Linked DNA regions of Drosophila melanogaster. The protein of the gene in region 1 interacts with the protein of each later gene in a pairwise test. Each region holds a gene or a part of one and is shown in the gene's direction. Other genes may lie near its edges.

What was found.
Region 2: the proteins of SKIP (region 1) and CG9083 interact in a two-hybrid assay, tested with the Drosophila melanogaster proteins (one large-scale study listed by BioGRID).
Region 3: the proteins of SKIP (region 1) and Tep4 interact in a two-hybrid assay, tested with the Drosophila melanogaster proteins (one large-scale study listed by BioGRID).
Region 4: the proteins of SKIP (region 1) and Tsp interact in a two-hybrid assay, tested with the Drosophila melanogaster proteins (one large-scale study listed by BioGRID).

Annotation. Positions count from the first base shown.
Region 1 is NT_033777.3:22,130,279-22,138,117, forward strand, and holds the start of SKIP (shal K[+] channel interacting protein), read left to right. Parts: upstream 1-3,551; 5' UTR 3,552-4,173; intron 4,174-7,839. Other genes in the region: CG42390 (uncharacterized protein), read left to right, coding at 1-169, 228-314, 369-519, 588-897, 965-1,064, 1,293-1,475, 1,823-1,966, 2,377-2,812.
Region 2 is NT_033778.4:24,894,997-24,901,578, forward strand, and holds CG9083 (uncharacterized protein), read left to right. Parts: upstream 1-3,276; 5' UTR 3,277-3,345; coding exon 3,346-3,363; exon of another isoform or gene 3,364-3,431; coding exon 3,432-4,367; 3' UTR 4,368-4,509; downstream 4,510-6,582. Other genes in the region: NaCP60E (Na channel protein 60E), read left to right, coding at 5,848-6,059; Tpc2 (thiamine pyrophosphate carrier protein 2), read right to left, coding at 4,537-5,508.
Region 3 is NT_033779.5:19,546,269-19,557,129, forward strand, and holds Tep4 (Thioester-containing protein 4), read left to right. Parts: upstream 1-3,424; 5' UTR 3,425-3,577; coding exon 3,578-3,660; intron 3,661-5,413; coding exon 5,414-6,145; intron 6,146-6,204; coding exon 6,205-6,631; intron 6,632-6,687; coding exon 6,688-7,025; intron 7,026-7,093; coding exon 7,094-7,647; intron 7,648-7,701; coding exon 7,702-9,824; intron 9,825-9,893; coding exon 9,894-10,133; 3' UTR 10,134-10,183; downstream 10,184-10,861. Other genes in the region: CG10337 (uncharacterized protein), read right to left, coding at 1-157, 379-543.
Region 4 is NT_033779.5:6,703,126-6,711,117, reverse strand, and holds the start of Tsp (thrombospondin), read left to right. Parts: upstream 1-2,031; 5' UTR 2,032-2,831; intron 2,832-7,992.

The DNA of each region.
Region 1 (7,839 bases):
CCTGCCAGGCGCAGGTGAATTCGCTGAGGGGCGTGGTCAGCGAACAGGAGCAGTCCATCCAGACGCTAATGGATCGCATCGAGAACCTGAAGGGAGATCTACAGTCGGCCAATGAAAACCTCGAGGCCCAGATCGAGGCGGTGCACAAGATCAAGTATCAGTGTGATAAGTGCGTATAATTGGGAATTATCCATGGAATTTGATTGTAATGATTATATTTTTTACAGTGCCATCTATGATAAGGAACGCCAAATGATCTACAAAATCGATGAGGTGCGAAATGAGGCAGCCGCCTTCTGGGAAAACAAACTTTAGTAAGTCACAAGTCATCATATTGAGTGCTCCAAATTGAACTTTTATGCCTTCAGCACAGAGATGACAAGACTGACAAATGAACTGGAGTCCGTGTATGTGGACGAGCGTCGCGAGGCGTTGGACAAACTGCAGAACGAGCACATCGAGGAGCTGAGGGCCCTGACCAACAGATACACGGCCAACGAGGAGGAACTGCGATCTGAGGTGGGTTCATAGTGTTATAGATAAACTGCAATCGAATGCATATTTGCATTTTATAAACCATCATTTAGATTGACGATCTGCACGAGAGCCTGGAGCAAAAGAAACAGGATTTCCTCAGCCTGCGCGAACGTTCGGATAACGCCCTGCTTCAGACCCGAATGCATTTGGATAAGGCCGATCGCGAGTACCAGAATGCCATGTGCCGCGAGGAGGATCGCCGTGTCGAGCTGGAGGAACGACTCCAGAAGGAGTTCGAGGCGGAGAAGGCCGAAATGGAGGAGAAGTTCCGCGAACGTCTCGGTCAAGTTAAGGAGGAGTTTGCCAAGGAACTGCAGCTCTCCACTCAGGAAATGGTCGAATCACATCGAAAGGAGCTGGGTAAAGATACATGTGTATATTGATTATTATTATATATAATTATATAATTGATTATATCAATCGGCAGACTCACAAAAGGCCAAGTTGCAGGCGGAGAAGGAGGAGGCGTTGCAGGAACTTGTGGAGCGACATCGCGCAAAAATGGCCGCTGCCGATGAACGAATCAAGTGAGTGAATGCAATGTGGCATGCCCCGCCCCATGGGCATACTTACCTTAATAGTGCCCCCTGACCGCTGCTCCCCACTAAATTGAAGCAGGATCCATTGGCTTGCATTGAATGTCTGCATCCTACTCATTTGCCACATTTGTCACATTGGAGTCCTTGAACTCGATCCATTATCACATGAACTTGTATTCTGTTCTCTTTCGTTTCACATTTCATTCATTGGATCAGCATGGATCAGCGTTTAGGTCGATCGACAGCCTCTCCAGCCCTGTGGGCGTTTGCAAAGGGGGCGTGGCCGTATATGCCCACACTATATGTGCTATATCTGACCATGTCGCCGCTGATCGCCATTGCATGCTTGGTGTTCAATATTGTCGCAGTGATCTATATCAAATATCGCCACCTCCTAGCGCGCCAATAAAATATTAATCCCCCTTTTCACGCTTAAAATGATTCTTGATTTAAATTTAAGACTGGCCATCATCGAAAATCTCTTGTTAGACATAAGACATTGGTATTGAAATGTTTGAAATGCGAACAAAACCCATAAGAAAAAAAATATGTTTTTATCTGGCATGCAGCTTGTCAAACGTTGTCCTTCTGGTGCGATTCTCCTAATATTTTACTTTCTCTTTCTCGCTATGTGTGTGTATCCACCTCAACCTCTGACCACTCTATATAACCTGAATAACCCCAACCCGAATCCGAATCTGCATCCGTATCCGCGTACGCATTCGTATCCGCATCCGCAACCGCAGCGATGTAGAACTTCGGCACCAGCGCAATCTCAAGGACCTGAAGGCGGCCTACGATGCCGAGAAGGCGGCGCTGGACAAGCGCGACATCAGCAACGCCAACGAGATCGAGCAGCTGCATCGCAAGTGCCGCTGCCTGACCAATCTGTAAGTGCACCCATTCCCCAAAAACCACCAGCCACCCTGACCCATCTTCCCCAAGGTCGAGTTCCTAAGTCTAAGGAAAGTTAATTAAAAGATTGAGTGTGATTGAGACCACAGATCTATGGAATTATGATTCGAAACTTTCGAATTTTGCTAAAATATAAGATTCTTATCTTTATATAATTTTGAAAAATAAAAAAATAAAATCGGAAAGGAAAGGGATTTAAGAGCTCGACCTTTTAACTCTTTTTATCTTTAACACAAATTTATCTTACTTTTGCTTGTCCGTGTTGTGGGATGTTGTACGCCAAGTCAGTATCCAGCATCCGCCTTGAATTCACCATTATCCTTTTTGGTAGTTTAGTAGTGAATATAGTAAATATTTAAGGAATTTTGCAATCCTTTTTGCGCAGATTTGAGGAGATGCGCATGCGATACGAAAGACGAGATCCTCGAGCCGAGGATCTGCGTGAGATAACCGAATTGAGGACACGATGCGAGAGTCAGGAGCGGGATTTGTATGTGCTCACCGATCGCCTGCGGGAAATGCAGATTCAAATGTCCGAGATGCAACAAAATGGTGACCGCAAAGGCGGTGGAAAAGCGGTAAAGAAGCCGCCGCCCAAATCAATAGCCACCAGCTGTGACGTCATATACGAGGAAAACGAGGAGCGAGAATCGCCCGACAAGGAAAATGGTGAGAACTCCTCCCAGGGGGACGAGGACGATGAAGCGGATGAGGAGGTCGAGCAGGAACCCAGCGACACCGAGTCCAATCACACGATCGAGGTCAATGGAAAGTCGGATCGAATCAACGAGGATGACGCCCATCTCATCACCGCCGTGTGAGCGGTCAAAACTTTCTATATACATAGATCTTCCAATTTTGTGGCTGTATTCTTCGAGATCCCCAGGAGTGGATGTTCCAGGACCAAGGATGTGTGTGTGATCCCGGGTGCTTTTGGTGCTTCATGTGCTGCCCTCTGTATCGCTGGATACGGAAATCGAACCACTCAATCAAATCGCTCAAAGCTTGAACTCATAAAAATTGTAAATTAAATTTCTGAATTGGTTTCTGAAACCGCCAAAAACAAAAAGAAACGAAATAAATGTAAATATTTTTAATAATACTGATATTTATACAGTTTACTATTTTTTTATTTATTGCTTAGACTTAACAGCTGTTAGCTTAACAGTTATCTTGGCACTGTAAATGCGAGAGAATTTAATTTTCAAGAGAGACGCATGCGCATCAATTGTACTAAATGAACTAAATTCGCCCAATTAGTACGTATTTCAAATATAAGAATGCAATTGTGGCGCGGCTAAATTTAAATGATCTACGGGCAAGAAAACGGTAAACAATAATTGTACTTTTCTAATTATGAAATATAAATAGAAACAAACAATTTATTGAATTTTTGTGCACTTCTTTTAATATAAGAAACGTAAGTTCGAAACCCTTCGAACTCGAACTAAATCGGTTGCATCGAACCAAGAGAGTGACCGTTCGCGAGCTCGGCTGTGATGCTAAAAATGCCAGATGGAGCAAGCAACATATACGAATATATACGAACGCATTTATCGCCGCGCGGTCAGTCGTCGAAATGTTCGAGATCCGGTCGTTTTGAAAACCAGCTCGAGCGGTCTATTCGCGTGAAATTGAAACTGAAAAAGCCGGTAAAACTGAAGCAAGTGTGTTGTGATTGAGAATTGAGCGAAACGAAAACGGTGGCCAAACGAGCCGTTTAATAAGCAAACAGGCTGGCCAATAACCAATTACCATCAGCCATGCCATCAAGGAATCGTGATAACGCAGACACAACCGGCAGCAATTTGTTAATTTGAAACGTCGTGTGTGTTCCTCTACGAAAAAAAAAACCCAGTTATTTAGCAAGCATTTAAATTGCATTTGTAGCATAGCACTTTAGTTGCGCGTAGGAGGAACAGCAAGGTCGTTGGGGTCGAATGTGAATGTTTGTGATGCAAGTGACAAAATCAAAATTGGAGTAAATTGGTAGCCATTCCTGTGAGCATTTTCGCGTCGCGTAACGGTAAATCATTGCGCCCTGCGTGTCTTCGTGTGCGTGCGTGTTTGAGTGTACGTTTTTCGGTTTTGTTTTCATCTCCTCCTTGCCATCCTCCTTTCTTCCACCTTCAATTGCCATCTCCTAATTTCCTCTACGAACGGAGAAACACGAAAACGAAAAGTAAGTGCCGCTACTTCTATTCCTCCTATATGTGTTATTGTAAAAGATTTGCAGCCATGTGTGCCTGTGTGTGCTTTTGTGTGTGTGAGGGAGATTTCGTGAGTGCGATAGTGTGTGTGTGCAGCCTCCACCAAGCGCCGCATTTAAAGGATATTCCTAATCCGTTTTATTGATTGCAGGGCAGAAAGGAGCGGCGAAAAAACAGCAACAACAACAACTACACAGCTGGAGTGCTCAAACTGTGTGTGTGCCTGTGTTTAGTTCTTGTTCTCGGCAATCTGTGCCGCTTTTTTTTATGTTTTTATTCCCTTCCCATTTCCACTCTATCCTCATCCTCCGGGGTTGCTGTTGTTGTTGTTGTCGGTGATTTAGTAGTGCCTGCTGTTTTCGTTTCATCTCTGTCTCCCTCTTATTTCCCTCTAATTCTGACTCTTGGCCGGCTTTTTGTTGTTGCTGCCCACAGATTTCCTGACAAATGTTAATTATTTATGCAACACTTCCTCTCTGCATTTTGTTATACAATTGTCCATTTTTCACTCATTTGGTTTAAATTGTATAAACACTTCCTTAATGTCTTGAAAACTTCCTTTTTGAGATAGAATGACTCATAAAGTCACATATTTCACTTAAAAAGTGCGTATCTTCTTTCGAATTGAAAGTTCTTGTGCAAAATTACAACACGCATTTAACCCACTGATATAAATTCTTTAATTGAAAATTATGCAGAATCACATAATATGAAATATTCAAAGACATATTGAAAGTTCGACATAATGATTTATCGAACTCAATTAATTTCTGTCTCGAGCAATAATTAAACGTCAATTAAAAAAACATTGATTACTTGTGTGCTTTCAACATTTTGAGACTTGAAATGTTTTTTAAACACCTGTCGTGGCCGTGTCCAAATAAAACCCTAAACTGCCGACTTTAGACACCGAAGAGGATTGTCATTTAAAATCACACAACCACACCTTCTTTTACCTTGTCTCTTATTTTTTTTGTGCCTGCTTGTTTGGGTAGCTTATCTGTGCTTATAATACGTGTACATTTTCGCTGCGTTCCATATCTCGGTGAATAACTTCATCAGAAAATTAAGCGAAATATGCCTGGCACCTGCCCCCGTGGGCATAACTCAATAATCACATCAAATGTCGCCACTGGACTTGCAGTGCCGTGCTCCCTACGCCTTCCCCCTCCAGATGCCCACTTCCTGGAGCAGCGGTCGCAACACCTCCTTAAGAGGTGTGTCCACTGGTCTCCCTGGTCTCGCTGGTCTCCTCTCAACTCCCAGATCTTGGCTGCCCAGCCTTACCAGCTCTCCCCAGCTAATGCCGCACAGCTGCGCGCCATTTAAGTCGCTGACAAGTGTTTTGCCGGCATCTCCGGAATGCGACGGATACGGTGGCGAGGTGGAGAGCCGAGAAAGAATCGCCTGCTTCCATGGTTCCTGCTGCCACAGAAGCCGCAGCAAAAAGTGGCAGCCAACATTGCTACCAATTATGCGATAAGCGAGAGGAGCACTCTTCACAGCTCCACAGACTCACAGCTGATGCTATTTCACCTTTACAATTGTGAGAAAACTTTAGGCAAATATAGTGTGGGTTAGTAAATTAGTTGCGATTCAACTTTTGCGATATTTCCGACTGGAGTTTTGATGCTCTAAAAGCCACTTTAATGGTCTCCATTTAAGCATTTAGTTGTGGGCAAACAACACTTAATTGTACATCTACAAAATGTGCACTTATACTCCGAGTAATTGGTCAAAACAAAATTTACATAAAAGCATAGTTGTCTCGATGATTTTGCACTATTATTAAGAGCCATTAAAAATTTGCTTGAAATTTATACAATTATGATTGCAAAAATTGTAGAAAATTCATGGAATTTTTCATACTTTTGAAATACATTCTAGTTGTTTTACATTAAATCCGGGGCACCACTTAAACAATCCAAAGAAAGCAAAAGTCGCATCGATGTTTACACTTCCCACACTTTTTCAATTAAAATCCATTTTTTTTCGCACTTTGCCAGCAAGTTCGTGCAACTTGCAGGCGAACAACGTGTTAACATGGCCAAAAGCGGTGGGAGACTCGGGCTAATGAAGTGATTAGACTGCGATTTCGCCGATGTTGTTCCCTTTAAGAGTACGAAAAAAGCATAATAATAATGGAAAGGAAAAAAAAAAGAAAAAATGAAATTGGTTGGGGAAAACTAACAAAAGGCCGCGTGCGCAGCCATCAAACGAAACGAAAAGCGTGCAACTGCAACAAAAACACCGGCAAGAACAAGAGCAGAGGAATGACCTTATATTGCAACTGCAAGTCAAACAAAGGGCCGCTAATGGGTGGCATTGAGGGGGCACCTCGCCTCGCAGGGCAGGAAGGTGTAATCCCGGCCGAGGACCGAGGACCGAGCAGTGAGAACCGGTCGATGCCCATTGCCCAGTGCCCAGTGCCCATCGGAGTCCGCTCTCCGAACGGAGCGGCTACTGCGGGGCAATTGGGCCAAAAGCATAAAAATCAGTCAAGAGTCGCCTTCGCCAACTCCGTTCAGCATTAAAAGCGACAAACAAACAAACAGAACGGACACTGAGCCAAAAAAAAGGTGCATCCCCATAAAGATAATCACAGATATAAAGTGGATTTATGGTACTGATAGGCCTATATGTGTATCTTAATAGTTGAGTTGTAAAACAAGAATGGGAAACAAAATAAATCTTAAACGGAAAAGTGGATGAAATTTATAAAATTATCTTTAAAAAAGCTATTCCTTTTTTTTTTTTTGATAGTTTAAATGTGGAATTAAATTTAAATCCTTTTATACGTTTAAGTTCTTAAAGTCATAGAACGAACTTTTTAAAGGTATAACCCTTGGTATTTCTTGCTGTGGACAAACAGGAGTGCAACTCCCCTACTGGGAATGAAAATGGGAGTGGGACTGTCGACTGGCGGACTGAAGGCTGGGGAATACGAATGGCACTGTGACTGGGCAACGTACTCGAAATCGCACTCGCAGTGGAGCTGGATCTGGATCTGGACCTGAAACCTGGACACTCGCATCCAAAAGGCCGCCCGTGCGAGCGCAGGCAGCGCTAAAATCGATTTTCTCGCAAACTTGGCCAGGACGGGCAGCCGCAGGCCAACAACTACTCGCTGTCCTCGGCCCTTAGTGCTCTGCCCTGCTCCACATTGCCCCATTCCCATTCCCGTTGCCATTCCCAATCCCATTTCCAATCCCAGTCCGCCTGCTCCTGCTCCAGAGCCTCCTGTTATTCTGGCTGTAATGGATATGGTCGAGGCGCGCGCGGTTTTCGTACCCGAGATCCTCGTGGATTATGCGGATATACTGCGTTTGACCATCAAAATGTAATGGTCAAAAGGAACAACTTTTATTTGCTCAAGCTTTAAGCGAAATAAAGGAGTTTTTAGATTTTTACAATTTATAAAAAGAAGATGGACATGTTATTGTTAAATACTATTTGTATAAATACAATTGTATTTCACTTTGTAATTTCTAAGTTTTGTGTTTAAATCGCTTTTTAAGCAAAGGATATTGCCTAGTCGTGAGTGAGCTCCACTTTGCCTCACTTACTGGTTAATGATGATGCCGCTAATGATGATTCCTTTGATGACGATGATGATGATGACGGCGCGGATGATGATG
Region 2 (6,582 bases), on another chromosome or scaffold:
CCTGAAACCAACAATTGGCTTAAGAATAAACTAGCAGGTCAAGTTATGAGCTCAAAGATTGACATTCTTCAACAGCCACCCACAGTGCCATATAAAAGGCAGTTGGGGTGGGGGGACCAAAGGCATTTCCTTTTTGTGCGTGTTGAGCGTTTTCCTGCCACTTCCCGAACTCCTGTCCTGCTGTCCGGTCCTGCTCATCAACATAATTAAATAGCATTGCTCATTGTGTGCCGGTTGTGCCTTGGATACGGGGCATGTGCTTGGGTCTGGGGCACTTGGGTCCTGTGTCCTGGGTCTTGGCCAATAAAACGAAAATGGAATCGAACCAGCTTAATGGCGGGGCAGAGTGACCCTAAGGCCGTTTAAATAAATGATAAACAAATCGAAAATGGGAAGCGCTTTTGTCGGACCGAAAAGTTTCGGCTGATGACTGGCCATAAGTTACGCAATCGTTTTTGCAGGCGCCGATAGAGAGCGCCATTTGTCCTTACAGCAGGAGTGAGTGGGTGGGCCTTGGGTTGATAAGTGGGCGCAGGGCGCCATTGTCAGCGGAGTATATTCACTGGGGAGGTGAACAATGCACAAAGGCCAGCAGGCGCTGCCATCTGCGGATTACGAATATGAACGGAAACGGAAACTAATTAAATATGTAGAGCAATTGTTGCTGCATCTCGCTTTATCCTACCGATTCACTTTTTCACTTTTGTTTGTCCCGCATCACTGCAGCCAGTGTTTCGGTTTCTCCTTCGGCTCGGCTTGGGCTGGGGCTTGGACCGACCACCTTCCTTTCCGCCTTGCCAGTCTCGAATTGGATTTGGTTTTTGGCCAGGGCCAGGAAGCAGTCGAGAGCAAGCGCCCCAACTGCGAGGGGCGTAATTGCCCTACCCCCTAAGCCTCCGCTCCGAGTCCAAATCCCAATCCCATTTCAATTTCCATTCCCATTCCCGTCACCATTGAACTTGCTCAAAGGTCTGCGCAGCTGCAACTGCAACAGAGGCAGCAATGCCAGTTGCAACTGCAACAATGGCTGCACTTTAAACAACAAACTTTGAAAGTTAAACCAGGAAATCCGAAGCAAAGCATGCAGTACATAAGGAGTATCAAGAGAGCACCATAATATAGCAGAAAATCGAATTGACTTTTTCAAGACTTTCCCCACAATTCTAAAACTGTTGCCCACAATCTCGTGAATCACTTGTAGCACACCTTTTTCTCTCTGTGTGTGGATGCAACTGGTTTTTTGGGAAAACCACGACATTGCACGTCGCTAGTTGCTTTTAGTTTCTGTATCGGTGTGCAATTTCCTTTTTGTTTTTGGGCGCTTTGAGAATGACTTTGCTTCCGCGTGAAGATGCGACGGCAGGTCTGGAGTTTCGAGTCGCGAGCCCGGGTCGATTATGCAATATGGGGAAGATGTGCGTCTTCGTTGCATCTGATGTTAATGTGCGACCGCCAACCGGTTGCCCATCGTCATTGCCGTCATCGCCGGGGCAGCAGAAGCAGCTTCATCATCGTGAGCGTGGCCCTCTCTAGCTGAAGATGTAATCCCCATTGAAAGATGCTCTGATGGCACTGGAGTGCAGCCCATTTGCTCCAGCTCAGCGGCTTCCAGTTCGAACTTCATTCGGCACAGCATCGTGATTATGACCGGCGATGTGGCTTTATTGGCAACAGATTATTGCGTCGGTGTCCCGCTTGCTGCTCCCAGCTAGTTCCTTATGTAAGCCCGCTTTGTTTACAATCCGAAACAGTTTAAATGTATATTAATTATTCGGCAGTGATGGAATCTGCCGAGCGAGCAGTCAGCTGCCTAGCTCCGTAGCTGCCAGATGAGAAATGATAATCAGCGACGTAATCGAAATGGCCGGATGGCCCCGATTCGCTGGCTCGGCCCAAGTCACTCACTGCTAATGAAAACAGTGGCTAATCAACGGCGAAAGCATGGCGGCGGGGGTTGTTGGGGCGTCCAGATTGGTGGGTGGGTGAGTTGGAGGTGTTGGGTGGCCAGTGGCCATGACCTCTCTCCGCTGCCAGTCGGACATCTTGCTGATGTAAGCGCGAACAAAACCCACGGCGCGTTGCCTTTTGCCCATGTTGCAGCGCGGGGGCATGACAAGATATTTTTGATGTTGCTGCAGGCGAGGCTTAACCCAATAGCGCTCGAGAGCCTCTCGCCAAACGGCGACCTGACCTGGCCCAATCCAAAGAACAGTAACTGGCTCCTTCCCTGCCTCACAGCCGCGGCACCACTGCTTCGCGTTGGTAAACAAAATTATATTGATAATTTCCGGCACTGGTACGGCCATCAATGGGTTAATGACTAGCGACAGTGAGCAGCCAGCGGGCAGCAGCCAACCCGGCCAACCCTTGGCCAATCGTTATGCAAGTCTGGACCAACAATAAGGAATTGCCAATAGGAAGTTCGTCGTATCTACATAAAAATCCATAAACATGAACGTCAACAAAATACCTAACGGTTAACAACCAGCATCGGCGATGTGATAAAGTAGCAATAGCAACGAGCTCTGGGCCAAAACTGGAACTGGTCAAGTTGCATATTACCACAGTTTGAGTTTCGGTTTTAGCTATTTTCGGCCGCCAGCCCACGAAGCTTAGGGCCACTCAGATTTTCTCTCGAAAGAAAGTAGAGCACAGAAGCGAATGCTCCTCGAGAGAGTGTGTTAGTGCACTGGGAGAATCCGTGTATTACAATTACAAAATAAAAGTCTTAGATTTAGAAAAACATTTTTATGCAGTATCCAAGCTGCTTTCGTAAAATATGATTTTCTTACGTAAATATAGCAAAAGGAATTTAAGATATCTTTTAGCGATCTTAAATTGGTCTACGAAACCGGTTTTGTTTATCATGTAAAATATTGAAAATGGAAAACCAAAGATGATTGATACACTTAAGTTGGCATCACACCATGGGATTTAAAATAATTTTGAGTCACAGACCCTTTTTTACGTTATCCGTGTGGTATTGCAATTGGGCACATGCTGGGGATGATGATGTGAAAGGTCAACACTCTCGCGATCTTCAGAAAGGGAGAGTGAAGACTGGATGGCCGAGAAGAAGACGAAGACGAAGACGCGGCCAGTTGGCCTTCAATGGGTCGCGGTCGTGAAGTCTCCAGTGGTCTGGCTCCACTTCATTCAGCTCGTCGTCGGCGAAAGAGATTATCTCTGCACTTGCTCAGCGGCAAGCGATCGCTTATATAACCGCATGGCTCCCGAGTGGAGAAGAGGGCTATAAAACGGCGTGTGCCCATGTTTGCCGAATCATTTCCAGTCGGTCCAGAGGCGAGCAATCATTCGAGAGTCCTTCGTAACGAATCCAGAGAAATGGCAGCCCGTTTCATAGTGAGTTTGGCACGACACCACGTCAGTTCAGGTGGATCCTAACACAGATTCCCTCCTCCCACTCCCAGATCAGTGCGCTTCTGCTGGCTAGCCCAGCGGTATGGGGAAAGCCCACCTTCGGACGAGAGCATGTCCACATCCGTATTCACCTGCCAGAGAGCGGTGGGGATCACGGCGGCCACGGAGGCGGTGATTTTGGCGGCCACGGAGGCGGTGATTTTGGCGGCCATGGAGGTGGAGGCTATGAGATTCACTCCCACGATGGCGGATACAGCGGCGGTGGAGGAGGCGGTGGTCATGTGAACACCTATGCTGTTATCACCGAGAACCACGGATACAGTTCCGGGGGTGGCGGAGGCGGTGGAGGTGGCCACGGATACAGCTCCGGCGGATATAGTTCCGGTCATGATGATGCCAAGATTGCTGCCATCGCTGCTGCTGCTGGCTCGTCCTCCGATCACGGACATGGCGGACATGGAGGCAGCGGCGGACACGGCGGAGGTTATGGTGGCCATGCCATCGCCAACATTGCAGCCATCGCCGCCAGCTCAGACTCCTCTGATCATGGTGGCAGCGGAGGATACGGCGGCTACAGCGGTGGCGGTCACAGCGGAGGAGGTCATGACACCCAGGTGATTGTGGCTGCTGCTGCGGCTGGAGATTCACATGGCTCTTCCGGCGGATACGGCGGCGGATCCTCCGGTGGATACAGTGGTGGCTCCTCCGGGGGCTACGATGGTGGATATTCTGGTGGATCCTCTTACAGCGGAGCCTCCTCCTACAGCAGCGGCTCGTCCTACAGCTCTGGAGGATACAGCAGTGGACATGGCGGTGGCTATAGCAGTGGCGGCGGATCCAGCTATGATACACAAGTGGTGGCTGCAGCCGCTGCTTCAGGCAGCGGTGGCTCCTACGGCGGGTCTTCCGGCGGCGGTGGCGACGGATACAGCTACTCAGCGCCGGCCTCAGGCGGCTGGGCAGGATCCAGTTCAAACTGGAAGTAGACGGCAATGTCCGTCGTTGGCCATCTGGTCGTCTAGTCTACTGTTCACGTTTAACTTATATTTGACATGTTCGCTCATCCATATTCCACACATTCTCCCAAGATACTGGTGTACAAAATAAACCATGTTAGTGTAATAATTTAAGCCAGCCGCCCAGTATGTGATTTACCTAATGCTTGCCCAGTTTTTGCCGATTTTTCTCCGCCTCTTTCATCGGAGCTATATAGTGGCGCTTAAACATGTCATAGATGGAGAAGTACACGGCACTCATCAGTCCTGCCTTGAGTAGAGTAGGCAACATTCCCTTATAGAAGCCTCCGATTCCTTCCTCCCGAAACGTGGTGGTGATGCAGCCCAGGATCGTAGGGCACTCGGGGTTGCGACCAAAGGTCTTACGTTCCTGTTTGAAGGCCATCAGCTGGATGCGCTTTTTAAGCAGGTCCGCCGGGTACACGATCATCTTGGCCAACACCCCTGACAGCGCCCCATTGAGAAACAGAAATGCGCCGTGGATTTCCTGGCGCTGGTCGGGAGGCTTGGCCATCAAGACAGCCGCGTTGAGGTACTTGTAGAAGAGAAAGTTTGCCCCTACCAGCGGAAACACCTGCACAAGCGTGAAGGGTAGTCCTCGGGAAAGTCCCATCCACCCCTCCATCTTATAGACCTTTCGAAGTCCGGTAAAAGTGTTCATCTGACTGCGGCGCGAGGAGGGGTCTGCGGCCACCATCTGTGTTCTTACCACGTCGAACGGCTGGGCGGCCACGGCTCCCAGACATCCGGCTATGCCGCCGCAGATGAAAAACATGAGAAAGGGTCGCTCCCTCCAGTAGTCAAACTGGTGGGCCATGGAGCGAAGCTGTTCGTAGGACCAGAACTGTACCAGAGCGTACGAAATGCTCAGAACCTGGCCGGAGTTGTGACCACGGAACATACCGCGCATTCCCTCCTCGGCGTACACCGACTTGAAAGCGTGGATGACTCCACGGTATTTGGACCCCTTATGGTTTGTCACCGGCTCCACTTGCATCTGGAATCGGATCTTCAGAACGTCCAGCGGCTGGGTTATGGTCCGCGTCGCAGCTCCGGCGATTCCGCCGCCGACGGCCTGCATTAACTGGACTACCACCGAGTTTTCGGGCATCGGATGTGGCGACGAGCAGTGGACGGATTCACTCACGGCAGGAGTTATTCACTGTACAGATGAGGACGAAGTGGTGTGTTGTCATTCCGCAAGCTAAATTTCCTGCTACTGTATAAGAAAGTGGCTAGGCTTTTATTAAGCTCTGGCCAATTACACAGTATTTTCCAATTTAATATTTAGTCGAAATTTTAAAATACACAATAATTTCTCTGACAAGAATGTAAAAGCTTAAAATTTTTAAGGTGTCTACGTACTTTAGTTGGGGTCTGCATGTGAATGTACATACATTTCTATGCTTGTGTTGGTTGTCGCATTATTAATCCCTTCGATCTCTTTCAGCTGTCGCCAAGCACCAGGTTGTCGCGTACACGCAGAGGTCGCAGGTTAAGCACGAGAACCGGCACATCCAGCTGGTGCGGGAGTACGGCTTCCACCCGCGCACTAAGGCCTCCGTGGAGGACGGCGACGTGCTGCCCCGCAAATTCGAGCCCTTTCCGGAGCACATGTACGGAAAGCCGCTGGAGGAGATTGACACCTTCATTTACGAGGAGGTGAGTACTGCCGCGTTCAACATTCCCTCATTATCCGCGGCCTCGCCTCACTTGGCCGCCCATTGGCTCTAATTAAAAAGTCACAGGCAGGCGACCAGACCCCAGATCCGTGTTCTCATGGTAGGGCAATCCTCGTGGTGGCAGGTGCAGGCGGCGGAAATGGAACGCGGCGCGCGGCTGTTGTTGCTTTTGTTTTCATACCGCCGTCTCGCTGCACTTGCCCCATTGTAGGCACAAGTGGAAGTGCACTTTGGCTCAGGGAAACTGGGGTTAATGGAAACGCCTAGAACGGCCCTCGAAAACCGAAAAGGAAATCAGGGTAAATGCCGTTCGTTCGTTAAATTTCAAAGCCGGGAATAAATTTTGGAACTGTGTACATCAAACAAAGGACACACAGTTGCAAACACGTCTGCCCAAGTGTTAGTGCAGGCATGAACTCGGTGCTGGAAATATGGGTCATGTCATGCACAGGGCTCCGGGCAGCAAAGTTGACAGCCGTATTTACGTGACTCAAACAAACTGG
Region 3 (10,861 bases), on another chromosome or scaffold:
GCTTCTGCCATGTCTTGATTCCGATTCCGCCGGCTCCGACCAGGAATGCCAACAGCCCCAGGACGGCGTGCAGGCGGTTGAGGTTCAATGGACCCAACGAGGACTCCAAATATGCGCTATTCCGGACCAGCAATGCTTCGCCCATGAAAAACACAAACTATAATGAAATAGAAGATAGATGGAACAATGATTTAGGACGGGTAAAAATTTCAGGAGATAGTAAACCAGTTTATATTTAGGTCTTCCGGGTACAGAAAACTCTCACTCGAGAAATATATATCCTTGAAACCATTAGATTATTTGTTAACCGTGGCCTCAAACTTTCACTTTTTCACATATGTTTCTAAATCTTTTAATATCCGAAATCAAAATACTTACGCCGATTGTGCAGTAGAAGGCATGTCCGGCGGTGTGCACCAATTTGAGCACCAGACACTTGTAAACAATGGCTACGGTGATCCCCGCCAGAAGCACATGCGAGATCAGTGTGCAGAAGCCAAAGTAGAGGCCTCCATAGGAACCTTGCAATTCGGCAGTTGTCATTATGCTGAGGATGTCTTAGCTGTGCGAAAATCACTTATCTGCTACGTGAGATGCGCACGTAGAACCGATAAGACGAATCCAAGTATTTGGGCACCATAAACCGAAACCGAAGATCGCGACTGCTCGTGGCGGTTGTTAGAACGCTTTTGAGAGTCTGACGGCATGGAACAGCTGGAAAAAGCCATCGAAAGCTCCGCCAGCGTTATCCGAAAAATCAAACTTTCAAAGCCAGTGGAGCGCGGCGTTTGCAAAAAGTGACTCAGCGGATCGACCCGTTCACGTGTTTTTCACCTTGGGGCGGGAAAGGCGGCAGCGGCCACAGGTGGCAGCGATTGGCATTGCTCTCCAGCTGGACGACATGCGATTATCGGTATTTTTGGAGCAATCTAAAACCGGATTGGATAATTGACCGGCGTTAATCATGGTGAATACACCATGAGTGATTCCCAAAAACAGAGTCAAGGGTGTTGCCATTTCCTAATTAAAGATCAAATTAAGTAATAACAAATCTAACCGAATGTTGAATAATCTCTCTATTTCAAGTTCTGCGTTTAGAATATATATTTACGTAGACTGAACTACGTTAAATTGTGCTTTTTAGGTCCACCCTAAATAGTTGATTTCGATGATCGATGTTGTGAAATTGCTAGCAAAAGCAAATGCGAGACGAATAAACAGCAAAAGGAGAAACAAATAGAAAGATAAGAAGCGAACAATATGATTGGGAATATCCCACAATAACACTTTCCTACAGCGCATTTGTACTAATACAAAATATACGGTTAAATAAATTTTCATACTTATCCGACTACAAAAATAATATCTATTAAATTGGTCATTTTTTTGAGGTAGCGTTATGAGATTTGAAGGAGAGGATTAGCAGAGTTTGAGTAGCTCTACATATGTACCATAGATAGTTCTGTGGATTCATTTCTATTTTCATTTACTTTAGTGATTAACCGAAGAGATAGACATAATCGCGACACATGTCCATGTATGCCTTACTATCTCATATTTATGTATGTAGATGCCAGTTTTTCGGCTCTCCAAACTTAAAATATACCGACTAGGAATTTGGAATAATAAAACATTTTGTTCAGCTTTGCGAACTTTCAATATTATTACGTATACAGTTCACAAAAAAAGGTTCAAGATTCAATTATTCCTGCCTGCATATACATATGATGTATTAGCTTTACAATAGCTTTAAAAAATAGTTTTTTCATAAAAATATTTGTATATTCAGTTAGTTATTATGAGCGTATTTTGCAGGCAGTATACTTTCTGGGTGAAAGCCAAGGAAGATTACTTGTTACAAGCAAATTAATTCACCATACATCACCACAATTTAATTAATCATGAAATTACAGCGTTTTAAAGCTAATTCCTTTCCTAGATTGCAGCGTATTCATATCACCCAATATCACTACTTATAGATTACACGGAACCGAACCGCACGAGAGAAAGAACAAACGGGGAATCACCAAGAGAAACGCAGTTGAGCGAATATCTCTTATATATTGGCATTACTCATCGCTACATTATATACCCGTTTCATTTGCAAGGCAGTGTGAAATACAGCCAAGTGACGTCATCATTCGGCAAATCAAGAGAGCGACATCTAACAAAACAACAACAGCTGACTCAGAGAGAGCAGGAAAGAGTTTTCGATATATATGTACACAACGCCTAGTCAGTTGGTCTCCGTATTTCGATTTAGGAGGCAGTTCCGTTAACACTGCAAATCAACAAGTCCAAATAATATTGCACGCACGTCATTTGCCACACGACAAAAACATAAATATTTGTATTCAATTCATATATTGGGATTTTACGCGAGATCTTCGCAAAAAATCATTTGGGCTTTTCCAAAAACCAGATAATGTACGTAAATTATTTAAAAGGAAAATCTATATTTCAAATCATTGCGAAACACGAAGCGACAGTTATTGGTGACAATTAAAGTGTTAATTATCGAAAAACCCCACACGAAATATGAATAAGTTGTTATAATTTGACTATTGCATGACGATAGTTCTGTGACAAATAACTGAAATATCACTCATGGGCAATCAGTAATACCAACTTTCTGTTCTTCTATACAGTCACGCCTATTTGTTCGCCCTTTATTCGTAATATTCATATAATATATTCATTTCTAAAAATGGTGAAATTCGAAACATTAATTTTTTGCAATTTTTTAGCAGTAAATCCCTATTTCCCATTTATTAGTCCAATTATGATTGAAACTGGCCCGAGTGAATACTCGAATCAATATTTGAAAATATGATGAAAATAGAAACATTCATCTTTGGTGTTTTTGAACAGTAAATTCCCATAAATCCATCCTGTATTGTATTCTTTTGAACAGTATGTTCCCCTAACTTCCTTCTAAAATCAAATTACGAATGATTTTTAAGCTGAAATTGGTCCAAGTGAATACTCACAAATGTAATATTTGTAAATATGATAATTAGAAATAATCATCTTTGATCCCTTTGACCAGTAAATTCCCATAAATTCCTTCTTAAATCAAATTACGAATGATATTTCAGCGGCAACTAGCCCAAGTGAATACTCACGAATGAATATTGATATTGGAGTGCCGGCGTTTTTTGTGGCCATGTTATTATTGTTAAGGTTTTGTTTGCCCAACTCGCGTCATCGATTTCAGTGGGCGCACCACATACACCGCCACACACACACACACACACACACACACCACAACAACACACACTCTGCCAGTTTTATTTACTTATAATTTTTATCAGTTTTTTTTTTTACGACTTGCTCGCCCCACTGGAGCTCGGCTTCGTCTGCCGGGCCTGGGGTTTTAGAGTCGCTCGGTATTATAACAAATCCGTGGGCCATCGAACCGAACCAGTCCCAGCTCGGCTCTGATCCCAGTCGGTCGCAGTCGCTCAGTCGCTAACCAAACTTCCGCCAGCATCGATCCCGCGCATTATAGCCTTATAATATCTGTGCTCTTATTTCCCATCCTTTTTGCCCTCATTTGACCACCAATCCAATCAAAATGCGTCGCGCAGACGCTTTTGCTGTCTCGCTTTGTGTGATTTTGGCCTTGCTGCAGACGATGGAACCGGTAAAAGCCGAGGGGTAAGTCCATATACCACAAATACTATACTATATGATCGGATCGATTTTAAAACACATCTACGGTTAGAGTATTAGTAGAGTCGGGTTAGGAATTCGCAAAAATATAGGCGATAATCAAAGCCAGATATCTAAAACTATAGTTCTTTACAAAGCTGGCCTATAAAACGTATTGTTCTTACTTCGGTTATTCGGTTGATAATTTGAATAAAAACTGATGGCTAAAAATTTTAACCATTTCCCTAATACGCTAGTGGTTGGATTCCCGTCTCACTCGAACACTTAAACACAGATTACTGCAATCCAAACTATATTATCTATGTTTATTACTTATTACCACTATTATATTCACAGTCACTGTATGGCTGTCGTCGAATATTTCAATTAATTAGGTATGCATATATGTATACAGATAGGGCCGTTTTTAATGAACATCAAGGTAATTAAGCTGTTATTTATACGCAAAATCACCTATTAGCTTAATTGTTTATACCATCTGGTTTGTCCTTGGATTTATAGGAGAGTTTTTTTACGGTTTTTACAAATCACTAACCTAATAACATTTTGCTCTACATTTTTCAAATAGTAATTTAACTTTTAGATATATAATTATGTATATAGCAAATGTTAAACATCGTTCCTTATCACACCTATAAGATTAAACACTAGACTTCTGTCCACGTAGTGACGATGAGCACCTAAAAGGGTGAATTTGGGGAAATTCAATAAAATTGAAAATCTGGTACGATAGTCCGATCACAACTATTCACTCACTTCAAAAATATTCAGAATTTCTTTTTTAAAGAGGTTTAGTTACTCCGAACTAATATCTGGTATTTAATTTTTGAGTTGAAGGTGCCATCGCCACTTTAATCTCACCTTGTTGAGGGGTGTTTTATTTTCTTCATTTTTGTTGAGCTCAACTTATGATGCTAATTGAGTTTCACTGTAAGCCATTTTGAATATGGATTTTTATATTTTTTACTCAAACAAGAGGATCACGTCACATACTTTGTTTGCCTCAATGGTTTCGCTGATCAATCTTTCACACGATCTTAAATCTGTACTTTTTCCTGTCCCGCCAATTATTAGTAATTAGAAACGAATATGAAGGTGGGTTATGGAACACACTTAAAAATGTCATAAACTTGAAGTCTAACATAAAAGGCTGGAACAAATCTAATCCAAAAAAGTTAATGATGTTCAGGCTAACAATATTGGTGTACGTGATCGGGGACTGTAAGTGCGAGAAAGATTGCTAATCGCAAAAGCTGGAATTATGTAATCTCTAAGCCGGTTTCATACTTTTCAGTAGAAGATCAGGTTCTGGGAATATTATCCGTTATATATATATATACATATATATTTCATCATTTGCTGTCACAGATCAAAAAAACCATAACTCAAAAACCTAAACCGAATCTTAGACTGCCTTTTAAAGATTGGGAACATTATCAAGTCGAGGTTAATGGTTTTAAGTTTCATTTCTGTGTTTCCCTAGAGATTAGACAATATACATTTATTTTTGAATTCTTAGAGCATGGTCAAGAATTTGATATTGATAATTTGAATATTGATAGCTATAGTTACTATCAAGAAATACAATACTATATATTATACAAATACAATACTACAAATATTTCCAAGTGGATATGTGTATGTTTTTTTCTCTTCTTGGAATTTTTTATGGCCGAATTGTTATTTGATTTTATTTTGTTTTTCATGACAATAATGTTGATGTTTTCTTTGCTTCCAGCAAGTACACCATTGTGGGTCCCGGAACCATCCACTCCCACCGTGACTACAATGTGGCCGTGGCTGTCCATCAGACCAAGGAGCCAGTCACCCTGAAAGTGGGCATCACTGGACCCTCCTACAACAAAACTGAGACCGTGGAACTAGCCACTGCCGGTGAGTTCAAGCAGATCACCTTCAAACTGCCCCCATTGGAGGCGGGTGAATATAATCTGACGGCGGAGGGCGTCAAGGGACTGGAGTTCAAGAACTCCACCAAGCTGAACTGGGAGAATTTCAAGCCATACATTAAAATCCAGACCGATAAGGGAAAGTACAAGCCCGGTGATACTATCAACTATCGTGTGATCTTCCTGGACGAGAACCTGCGGCCGGATACCGCTAAGGATGAAGTGGTGGTTTGGTTTGAGGACTCCAAAAGGAACCGCATCAAGCAGGAGAAACACATAAAGACCACCGGTGGCGTCTACACTGGCAAATTCGAGCTCTCCGAGTTCGCCACATTGGGCTCCTGGTCCCTTCATGTTCAGAATGGAGATCAGCACCACGACGGAGGTATTTACTTTGGGGGTCGTAAACAATTTGGAGGATTTGGTCATCGCTGGCATCGCTCGGATGAGCTCGTCAACTTTGAGGTGGAGAAGTACGTGCTGCCCAAGTACTCCGTCAAAATGGATGCCACGCAGCAGGTTTCAGTGCGAGATGGCGAGTTCAATGTCGTCCTGAAGGCCAAGTAAGTATTACCGGAAGTTTTATGCTTTAGGACATTCTTATATCAGCATTATCCCCCAGCTACACCTATGGTAAGCCCGTGAATGGTAAAGTTCTTGTCAATGTCCATCTGGACTCGACGAGCAGTTGGGAGAATGTGGACGGCAAGACAGTGCAAACGGACTACCCCGGACATTCTGTTGTTGGCACCGCCGACATGGTCGGAGGCAAGGCCAAGTTGACCATGGATCTCAAGGACTTCGCCAGTTATCTGCCGCACAAGACCTCTTCTTCATATGCCCAGATTACGGCTACCGTGGAGGAAGACTTCACCGGCGTGAAGCTCAATGAAACAGGCGGTGTGCAGCTGTACCCCTATCGGTATGAGATGTCCTGCACTGACTACTCCAGTTGCTTCTCCTTCAAGCCCGACAAGGAACATGAACTTAACTTCAAGATTACATATGTCGACGGCTCACTAATTACAGACACCAAGTCTGTTGTGAAGGTGGGTTAGAAATCTTAAGAGATCTGTCACTACTTATAAATTCGTTTTAACTCTAGGCCAAGTTCACTGAAGGAATTCGACGCAATTATGCTTTCTATGCCTTTGGAACAGATCATCAAGAACCGGAATTGCCAACGATTGAGAAGAAAACGTTTGTGTTTGAAAGCCATTTGAATGCGTCTGGTGTGGCGCCTTTCAAGGTGGTTCTTCCCGATTTGCCGGATATCGCCAACTTTACTCGTTACTATAGCATTGAGCTGGAGTTCGTCGATGAAAAACGAGATCTGTACACCACTTATCCCTACAGGGAACCAAAACAGATTGAAAATCCTAGCTCTGAAGAGGAAAAGGAGTGGTTCAGGGCAGAAGTTCAGAGGCCCAAGGACGTCTGGAAGTGAGTACAGTTGAGTTGAGCAAGGGTTCCACGATTTTAAATAACCATATACAATACTTCTATTGCAGCCTCAAGATCGGGCAGGAGTATCAAGTAATCCTCAACTCCAGTCGTCCGCTCAAATACTTTGTGTACAACATTGTGGGACGTGGAAACATATTGGAAACGAAACGTGTGGACCTCGCGGAACCCCAAACGACCGTCAACGTAACCATTAAGCCCACTTTCCTCACTACTCCCTATGGTCGGGTGTACTTCTACTACGTGGATGAGACAGGAGAGTTCCGATATACCGAGGAAACATTCAGTGTGGAGGTCGAGCTGCAGAACCAGATCGAAATCAAGGCTCCCGCGGAAGTTAAACCGGGTGCCGACGTTGCACTGGAGATCAAGACGTCGCCAAAGTCATTCGTTGGATTGTTGGCCGTCGATCAGAGTGTCCTTCTGCTGGGCAGCAACAACGATTTGAACAAGGAATCCTTCAACTGGCGCCTAAATGGCTATGACACCTCAACTCCCTGGCAGGGTGGATACTCCTACTACCCCGGAGAGCGAACTGGAGTCGTGACTATGACCAATGCCTATTTCTTCTATAATCGCACCGCCCCAGACTACAATATTCGTACGTATAAATTTGTCATAATAATAAACCACATTAATTTGCAATTATTGGAAGTTACAGAAGGATTTGGTGGAAGCTCTTTCGCCATGAGAAAGACTACAGTGGCACATGATAGTCATGTATTCCATTCCGGTGCTGGCGGACCAACTCAGGCCGTGGGATTCTCCGCCGAAAGTGCGTCTGCATCTGCAGCACCAGTAGTGCGAAAGAATTTCGCAGAGACCTGGATCTTTGCCGATATCGAGAGCACCGAGGAGGAGGTGTTCAAGTGGGTAAAGACCATACCCGATACGATCACCAACTGGGTGGTCACCGGCTTTTCACTGCATCCCCAGAAGGGATTAGGTGTCACCAATGATCAGACAAATATCAAGACATTCCAGCCGTTCTTTGTCTCCGTTCGATTGCCATACTCCGTGAAGCGAGGTGAGGTGATCAATGTACCGGCACTGGTCTTTAACTACCTGCCCAAGACACTGGACGTGGAACTGACCCTGGACAACGAGGATCAAGAGTATGACTTCGTGGATGCCTCGAATGAGGTTATTGGTGACCAGAAGCGTACGCAGAACATCAGAGTGGGCGCCAACGAAGCGGCAGGAGCCTCATTTTTGATCCGACCCAAGGTCATTGGAAATATTTTGCTGAAATTCAAGGCCATCTCACCGCTGGCCGGAGATGCTATACACAAGCCGCTAAAGGTAGTGCCCGAAGGAATTACCCAGTACCAGAACAGGGCATTCTTTATCAATCTTAAGGATACGGGTGAGTTTAAGAACACCTTCGAGCTGGAAGTGCCGGAGGATGTGGTCCCCGACTCCGAGCGTGTGGAATTCGGATTGGTGGGTGATCTCTTGGGACCAGTGGTCAAGAACCTTGAGAACCTGTTGCGATTGCCCAGCGGTTGCGGTGAGCAGACCATGTCCAAATTGGTGCCCAACTATCTGGTGAGGGATTATCTGAAGAGCATCAAGAAACTCACACCTGCATTGGACACTCGCATCAAGAGGAATCTGCAGGACGGATACCAACATATGTTGCACTATCGCCACGACGACGGCAGCTTCAGTTCCTTTGGGCCCACCAAATGGAGGCAGGAGGATCCAGTGCGCAATGGTTCCACCTGGCTGACGGCCTATGTGCTGCGCTCGTTTAGCAAGATCAAGGATATAATTGACTTGGATGAGCAGATCCTGGCCAAGGGCTACGAATTCCTGTTAACTCGACAGGCAGAAAATGGTAGCTTCACGGAACACGGAGAGTATTTCTATAGCTCCCAGCGATCTCTATTGACATTGACCGCAAATTCCTTGCTCGCCCTGCTGGAGGAGGAGAAACCGAACCAGGCTGCCATTGACAAGGCGGTTGCCTATCTGAGCGCCAATACTGCCGAGTCCATTGAGCTCCTGCCCAAATCCATTGCCATTTATGCCCTGCAAAAGGCCAAGGCGCCGGAAGCTGCCAAGCAGGTGGCCAGTCTTAAGTCCCTGGCCAAACACGAGGACGATCGCACCTGGTGGACCGAGGATCTGGATAAGCTGCGTGCCTCCAAGAACTGCGGACGCTGGTGGTGTTGGATCTGGAGTCAGGATGTGGAGATCACATCATATGCGCTGCTTTCCCTTCTGGATTCAGACCAGGAGACAGCCGACTCTGTTCTGAACACCGTTCGCTGGTTGATCGCCCAGCGTAATGGCTTCGGAGGATTTGCCTCCAGCCAGGACACGGTTGTCGGCCTCACCGCCCTCATTAAGTTCGCTGAGAAGTCGGGCTACGAGGCGGCCAAGTGGGAGGTGACCGTTTCCAACAAGGGAAAGCGTGAAAAGACCGAGAAGCTCAACACATCGGAGGAAAATGACCTGCTCCTCCAGACAGTCGAGTTCCCACAGGGCACCAAGTCGCTGGAGTTTGAAGCCAAGGGAACTGGAGCTGCTATGGTCCAGATAAGCTACCAATACAACTTGGTGGAGAAGGAGCCGAAGCCGAGCTTTAAGATTCAGACCACCGTTTTGCCGGAATCGTCGCCAGCCAATTTGGAACTAAGCGTCTGCGTGGACTACGTGGAGGAGGGCGAGTCCAAGGAATCCAACATGGCCATTCTGGAGGTATCCCTGCCGTCTGGTTATACTGCTGATGAGGATAGCTTCGCCGACATCCGGAACATCGAACGTGTGCGGGTAAGTTTCAGAATCCTTAATACCTGTACACTTTTCTCTTCAATTACCTATAAATTATTCGCTTTGCAGTTGGTGGAAACCAAGAACGGTGACTCCGTGGTGGTCATATACTTCGAGAATCTGGCCAAGAACGAAGAAAAATGCATTCGCATAGAGGCGTACAGAACACATGCGGTGGCCAACCAGAAGCCATCATCGGTGGTCCTCTACGATTACTATGACACGAACAAGAAGGCCACCGAATACTACTCCATCAAGTCGAAGCTCTGCGACATTTGCGAGGGTGACGACTGCAAGAGCAAGTGCTAGAGTATCCAAACCAAAAGGAATCATTAATACTTTCTATCCTTACTTAAAATAAAATTGTGATTATAATGTATATACAAAATGTCTCTTTTACTGCTTTGGGTTACATAAGAGTTATAGCGTAGTGACGAAACGCATCAGTCAGTGTGCTAATGTCCAAATCTTAATGTAGAAACAGTTTATAAGGACCATAAACCAATTGATTGTTTTATCGTAATTAGTTTTCAGTTAGGGAGTTCTTCAACTAACAAGTAAAGGAAGGGACTTTCAGATTCTGAGTTCTGGGATACAAAGAATCAATTTGGATTGCACTTATTTATGGAGCTCGAGAAAATGGGAATGCTTCTGAGCATCAAGCTAGTTGACGAATAAAAAGCCATTAGGTGATCAAACATTGATTAAGAGAACCCCTAAATTAAAAATGATTGTTAAGCGCTTATTCACTTATTATTCAGCTTGGTTAAATCTTACTAAAACTTAGATGGAGGAGATCTTCATTGTTAAATGGGACACTGGGTGAAAGTCTGTGCAACAGATTAGTTGTTTTACCGTAATCGAAAAGAATTTACTTGAAGTCACTTGGAGTCGCAACGGAGTTGCAACATCGAGATAGGCGAGACAGCCTGCAAAAATCTATTATGATCCTCATCGAAACCAAAAGTTGCATAAGCAGATAAATGTAACCAAATTTGTATTGCAAATAGAGGTTAAAACAAGGTAAGTGGCTGCAC
Region 4 (7,992 bases), on another chromosome or scaffold:
AACCAGTTTTACTTCCCCGATAAGCTGGTGAATTGACCTTTAACTACTTTTAATTATATTGTATTGGCCCAAAAAAAAAGGGGCTGAGTTGGAAATTAAGTGATAAGCACTTGCTTTTAGTTTGTAGGGTGAATGGAGAGCTATGGTAACACCTTTAGGTAAATATTTGCACTTAGATATGCATATTTATCAACTGCCATTAAACACTCTCCTTTGAATCATTAAGCCGGAAGCTTGACCAACTTCACTCCAATCAAACCATGTCTTGCCAACTCCCACACTATTTCCAGGTGCAAGGCATCTGGCCTGGTCGGCATCAGTGGCCAAAGCCACGTAACCCAATTAACCGGCGAAGTCGTAAAATGACAATATTTCCTAGAGCAATTGAAGGCTGATGATAATCCCAAACCCCCCTAAGAGTGTTAGAAAGTAGCTCACTTTCGTTACACTGCACAACAAAGTCACGTTCGCTGAGGAAAAAAAAACACTCCAGAAAGCGCTGCACACGAAGAGCAGGAAGAATGCGTGTAATCGAATCTTGAAGACCGAAAAATAAACATGTTAATAATACAATTTTATGATTAATACGCACTGAACTGCAGTGCGAGGTGGTGGGGTAAAGGTGGGGCATTTCGGAGGAGATCAGACTTGATGTTGCTGTTGCGGCGTCGAAAAGTGCGTGGGACGTCTTAGCTCGTAACCACTGAAGATGCTGGGAACAACTCGAGGAGGATTCGGACGAGGAGTGTGTGGAATGGGGCGTGGGGCCAGCGAGGCTTATTTATAAATCACGCACATAATGAAATTTCAGCAAGTGGTCGCCGCTGTCCGAAAAGCGGCAAAATATGCAGCGTTGATGTGGGATAGCATCTCGGGTGTGTCCGCAGCACCGCAACTCCGTGATAAATGCACATCTGCATAATGCCCTCCTCCAACTGTCCGCTGACATGCCGGCGACATAATGACGAACAGGTCGGGCCATTCATTCAACTTCCCTTTCCCTTGGATCCCGATGCTACTGTCGTGTTACGCATCAGTCCCGTGTCAACGGCAAATAGGAGTGGAGGGAGTTCCGAAATGGGGGACACTTGTACTGCATAAGTAGCCATTAATAGGTGCCATATGCATATCATTTTGGGCTCTGGTTTTAACGAGTAGTTCGTCTGTTTTGAATGCCTGCAGAGCGTGCCGTTTATTTACGATCTCCATTTCAAAAGAGCAAAAGTCTGGCCCCATCCACCGAGTTCCTTTGGATTTGGAGGTGGTGGTCGAAAACAAGGATGGACGCATTATCGGAAAAGGGTTCGCACGAATCCGATTTAATGGCCTTAAACGGGCCTACAATGTAAGCATGTTTCGGGATTGAGTTTCAGTTTAATGGCCCAAACGATCTACAATTGGGGCAGCCCAAGTGGGCGACTCCACCATAATAATTGGTGGATAAACTAATGAACTGAAGACAATAAGTAATTACCCATAAATATAATCACAGAGAGCGACTTTTAACCAAAATATTTATTCTTACAAATTACACAGCAGTTTTAAACAATATATTACATAATTGCAACTTAAAGCGCACAAACGAAAACTGCGCTGATCGTTACAGAATATTTAAAATAACATTTTCTATATAGAAAATAAATTTTAAATTTCCTATATTTTAAAGAAGATTACCCATTATAAAATTTTATTTTTTACTAAGGAAGCGGAAGATATGAGATCTGAAAGTTGACTACCACTTTTTCCACTCACTTCCTCAATTATTCAGCAGCGATCTGGCCACACTGTCGATGTTTACGCAAATTTTGCACGTGGGCGTCGCGGCTTACTCACGCGTCAAATCAAAAGAAACACAAACGAAGACAAAATGCCGCGTTTCTCCCAAGAGCAACAACAACAGCTGAGAACAAAACAGAAACGCAGAAAGGCAACAACAAGTTGTCGCTGCTCCAAGTTGCTCCAGCCAACAGCGCTGCCGCTGCCTCAGTCGACGCTGCGCGTCGATCATTCCCTTTGCATTTTCAAATTTTCAGTTTCAGTTCGCGTTGGAACGTTGAACAAGACGGTGCGTGTCCTAGGTGCTTCGATAAGTGATCAGTGATTAGTTTTGGCGATAAATCAGTAGCATCAATCGATCGAACTATCGCGAGAATGTTTCAGTTTTCAAACGCTTCCTAAGTGTGCTTTTGAAATCAGCCCGCGCTGTACAAAGTTTTTTGCCCATATTTTTAAATCCGATCGATCCTCAAGCAGCATCCTCTGCATCCAAGGTGTCCAAGATCGCGTCGCGTTCGCCTTAATAGCATAAAAGTGTTTTAATTTTTATTGGCACGAACGGGCGAGTCAGTTGCGGAGCAGTTGTCGTTGCTGGAGGATTGTAGGCATTGGCGTCGCGTGTTCTCCACCGCGATTCCATAAAATCGACTCCACGAAATCTTCGCGTGTGTCCCCATTCCAAAATCCAGCTTTTCTACCTGGCGCGTATTTCGAAAAGGGTTTAAATGGTCTAATGCATCCGTTTCGTTATCGATTCTTTTAGTGTGAAGATACCCTTGCGACGTGTTTGATCTTTCGCTCTGCAAAAGTACAACATAATAAAAGTGTCTGTGCGGGCGTCCAGGAAAAAGCGGCGGAAAAGTGTGGCAATACTCGTAAAAATAACTCAGGTCGTTTCCATTCTAAATTGCGCGTTGACAGCCGCAAGTGGCGCAAACGAGCCGCACAAACAACAAGGAGCTGTCAGTTCCGTCCCGCCAAGTGGATCACTTGGATCACATCCACATCCGCAGTGGGGGCACCTCTAGAGCAAGAGCAGCGTCCTTGACCACGAGGTGAGTGTGAAGGTGGGCCAGACCTCCGGGCTTCTACATATGCTGCTTATTCGTGTGGCCAAAATCTGGGCTACACTCCGCTCACTCGGAAAATGAGTGCGCCAAGTGGCCAGGTGCGAAGTGCATTCCATATTCAAGTGCCTGGAAGGTACTAGAGCATATTAAGTTGTTCTTAAAGAAGTTGCGTTAATAATGATGCATCATCTCATTTTTAACATATTCTCAGGATCGTAAAGATAAACGAAAGATATACGGAAGTAATCACGACTTGGGTCTATGTTTATTAATATCATTCATTTAGAAAGTTATTAATAGCTAAATGCTAATTTCTTGTTTTCAATCTTAACAGACTGTAGACTAAAGAATCGCATCTTCTAGCTGCACACCCACAGCAGTTTAACTCCTTTTCATTCGACTTTATTGCATGATAATCACCAAGTTGTTGATAGGCCAATCTATGAATATTTTTTATGAGCGCCTCACAAGATTTCTATTCATTTCACCGCCATTTTATATCTGATGATAAATCAAGCTAATTGTTGTTGTAATTCAAATACTATCGATACATATTAATTAGCCACACCCAAGTCAACCGCAATCTGGCGGCAAAATCGGCCTGTGGCATCCTCACCATTCGAGCGACATTAATCTATGGGGGATCTGGGGAGATCTTATCTGCATTGGCGCCATAAATACCGCAGTCGAGTCATAATTTATTAATTACCGGACTTTCCACACGTATTTAAAGCAGATCAGATTGAGGTTTATGCCTTTGCGAGAACTATAATTATGTGGATCATATAAGGTCAGAGCACAGAATATTTTCCCCTCCAACAAATATGAATTGTGATTCGAAACGGCAGCCACAGATTGCTAATGATGTTGACCAAATGAAGCTGGTCACATTCCCCAACAACGGTTAAAATACTTAATTTTATTTGGCTCGATTTCCCAATCACTTTGCAGCTTCTACTGGGCTCTGCTACTCAATTCCAAGCGATTCAATTAAAAGACGCCCACTGCAAAGATCCCCATAACAATTTATAACTGCCTGTTCGAGAGACATTTCAGACTTGCGGTTATTTTATTATTTGAATATATTATTTAGCGGCAGTGGCGTTGTGACCCGAAGGGGTATTAATCTTGAAGATGTAGTAACCAATAGTTGGGAGATACTTTTAGCTAGGCCTATGACTTCGTTGTATCGATGTATCTATACAATAGATAGATACTTTCCCTTCAATAGAGCGGACAAATAAGATCGATCTGTTCAGTTTTGCAATGAGATGTGACAGAAATTCACTGAATAATTATTCAAATATGGAGCTTGGTGTTTTCTTATTCTCTGTCCAAACATTGACACCCCTTGGCGCTCCACACAGAGATGACTCTTCAGACATGGTAATATCTTGCTGGCCATATTTGGAGCTCGAGTTTGACATTATTAAAACATAAATAATATTGCCATTGTTAGTTATGGAATTTCCGCTTGGCAGCGAGTTATGAGTTCATAAACAAATGCAAATTAAGTGGAAAATTGTTGCACCAGCAAATTAGCGCATCGTCAGTGGAAAGTCATTTGGACACCAATATCCGAACCTTCTGCGGCAAATCAGGCTAACAAATTTTAATGCTTTGTATTGACTTCAGTCGGAATTTGCAATTCAAATGGAGCAAAGTCACAATAGCAGCTAAGGCTATTTGTGTTGGCCGTTTGGACTGCGGGCTTCAAAACCAATTCAAGTCGAATGGAGACGCGACTTTGCCTTAATGGTTCATCAACATAAGTTAATGGGTTTTCGGTTTTGGCCTAATGACAGATTAAACACATTCTCAAGCGATTTGACAAGATTGCCAACGAAAATTGCGCCGAAATGTATACTTTTATCCGGGCAAGAATAGTAGCATCTATCACGCATATTATTTTCCTTAGATATTTTGCGAAGATATGCAAATTATTTAAAGACGACCACTGATAGCAAGGTGCGGTCCAACAAACACCTGGTAAAAATAAACATTTAATTATATAGCCGCTGTATAAATTTAATTGATGGCAATATAATACGATTTGAGACAGTTTCTAGCTGCTGGCTATGCTTACATCAAAAAGTAGTCATCATGCATGTTTAGCTCAACGCAAGATTAAAGATTCAAGATTACAGAGATTATAATAATACCATTCTTACGGGTCTTTAAATTGTGATTTATGCGTTTTTACACCTACAATTTCAATCATTTTTATGTACTCTGCTGTTGCGATTGAGCAACTTGGCAGGTGGCAATTACCATACCAGAAATCTCAATCACCCGACTTATAATTGACAGACCTTTCAATATTTTGAAATAGGACTCCATATAACACCTGAAAAGCCACATTTTCAGCTGTCAACTACTGCATTTTTGTCGAATATAAATAGTCAAAAATTGAATGGGAAAACGACGACAAAAAGACCGGGCCTAAATTCAAATCGATACAAATACAGAAATCAATAAAATGACGACGTCAAGTGCCGTCCGAGACTATTGAACTCCACATTGAATCCAATCCTAATCTTGACACTTCCAAAACAACGTTCAAAAAAATGCTTGGACTGCGCCGGAAGTTACACAAAGTCCATTATGATGAAACCAATTTATCAGGCTGCTCGAAATCAATTCAGTTCACCTCGCTCTATTTGGTTGCCTCCAATTATAATAGGCTGACTGCTTGAAATTAAACAAAGCCTGAAGAAAGTTAACTGCAAATGAAAATCCGCCGAAGAATTTCCCTAAGTGGCTTAACAGCGCGATTGCGCTCTTTCTCCCGATTTTTCACTCTCGTGCTGCGTAGGCGCCGGCATAGATTTTTTTTTTCCATGTCAAACCAGCGACTGACAGCAGGTTTGCCAGCCTCAGTGAGCGCTTGGAGCTCCAACAACTCACAGCTCCAACTCACAGCCCCACAAACTCGCAGCGAAGTTTTTGGCTGAGCATTTAAGCCCGGCTGATTTGATTTCAGTGACACGACGCCCGCGGCGGCAGCGAAACTTGTCCTGCCCACACGCGACTGCGCAGAAGCGCGGTTTTAACCGCTGCCAACTCGCGTCGCGCATGCGCAGTAGCCGCGCCAGCGTTTTCCTTCTTGCTTCAGTTTTTGCGCCGTTTTAAACGCCCGGGGGGACGTGGACGTGGACACCACCGGTACCAGCGGTTGCATGCTGGCGCGATCGAAAAAAAAGAGTCAAAATATTTGAATTTCTAATGCCGCACGAGGGCAGACTTAGGAGTGTAACATAAATCATCGAAAAGCTATCGAATTTTGGTACTCATCTTATAAGAACTACAAGCAAATAGTTCAATATCTTTCGAATTGTTTTTTAATATATTCTAGGTATTTTATAGAACAGTTCAACCACTTAACTAACCACTAGGATTGTCATAATAGTTCTTTACCATTAGCATTAATTATCTCTCAGGCTAATCATAATATTATTGTAGGCCCCTAAGCTCCCAAAGCAGAAGTATGTATGTATGGGATTAGTAGCTATAAAAACATTTACCACATCAAAGTGGCACTTGGATAAATGCATCTCCCATCCCTCTGCGGTGTAGATCATACCCTTCGATCGACCCTCGCTGCCAACTGGCTACCCAGGGTTCTGGTTTCCCTTTCGCCTGCCTCTCTTCTGGCCAGCCGTTTAATCTGATGAAATGACTTTTCCGATAAGCATCAAATTTCCTTTGATGATCGACCAGAAACGCCTTTGTCACTGCAATGACAGTGACGCCAAACTTGTTCAATCGGCTTGGAATCAGTGGAGGAGGGGTCCAAACCCGGCCAGTGGGTGAAGATGATGATCTGGATAGCATCCAACCCTTCTCAGTTGCGGTTTTGGTTGCCGATTGATCGGCTTGCGGCTTCCGTGTGCATTTGCTTTTGCTTAATTAAATGTCAATCAATGTACTCGTCGCTTTATGGAGACGGACTTTGATTCTGATTTCTGATTTTGTCCGCTTTAATAATCATGTAGATGTGGCGTCGTCTTCACCATGCTGACGATGGCCTCTTTGGCGTCTCCATGGCGGGATTTTGTTTTTTGGGGCCTCAACTTGATGAGTGCGTGGGTGCTGGACAAAGATATATGCCTGGTCTAGGCATGATCTATACCAAACCGATGGCATTAAAAAGTATTTAATAAATTTCAGGCCTGAGGATTATGTATGCGTTTAGGTGTACACTCGAAGGTGTTTCCACCGCTGGTTTCGGTTTTTCTTTATGCTTGCGGCGGATTACTCGGTTGACATTTGGTGGGAAATGTTCTGGTAGCCGGAGGCCAACTTAACTGAGTATTAATAAACGTTTCAATGAACACTTGGCACAGATCTCGGGCATTATGCTTGGGTTAAGTTCTTGATAACCTTTCAGGGAATTTGAAATGGCTGAATAACTCGGACGACTTAAGACTTTAGAATGTATGGGGATCTCTTTCTCATAAGATGGGAATATATTAAAACATTGGTTACATATTCTGAATTTTATGTTTAATCTACCGTAGATAAATTCAATTTTCAATTGAAAATAGATTTATTTACCAGTTTATTGGTTCAGATACTTAAGATTCCACTGATAGATGATTGAAAAGTGCGACTTTCGATATGGTAAGAGTATGTAGGATTCATTCCACTTTATTCTTTTTATTGATTCAACTTCCTTATGGCGCCCACTACAAAGCCTAGTACTACTCGGCTGTCCATCTTAATCCGCATACTAAAGCACTCTGATATCACATCTGTCGAATGGAGAATAAAAACCCTAAAATACGATCGAAGAGTATGTGATCTGCCACCGTTTCTTCTAGTTTTACTACGTGGGGAGATAGAGAGCCCAGGTCCGGTAATTGCGATTACACCCATAAACGGAACAGATCCTACAGCCCGTCGTCCACTTGTGACTCAGTGACATTGTAGCCGGGAGAACGTGAAGTCAACAACAGCAATATCCACTGCCACTATAAATCCATAACTGTCAGTCAACATTTTGGACCAGTATCGGTGAAGTTGTCGTCGTGTCTTGTATGGCCAGAACGCCATTTGGTTTTGGCCCGGCTCCGAATGTGAATCCCAATGTGGTTGCTTGTGCCTGGAGCATCGGCGACCGTTACCACATTCCTGGGACACCTCA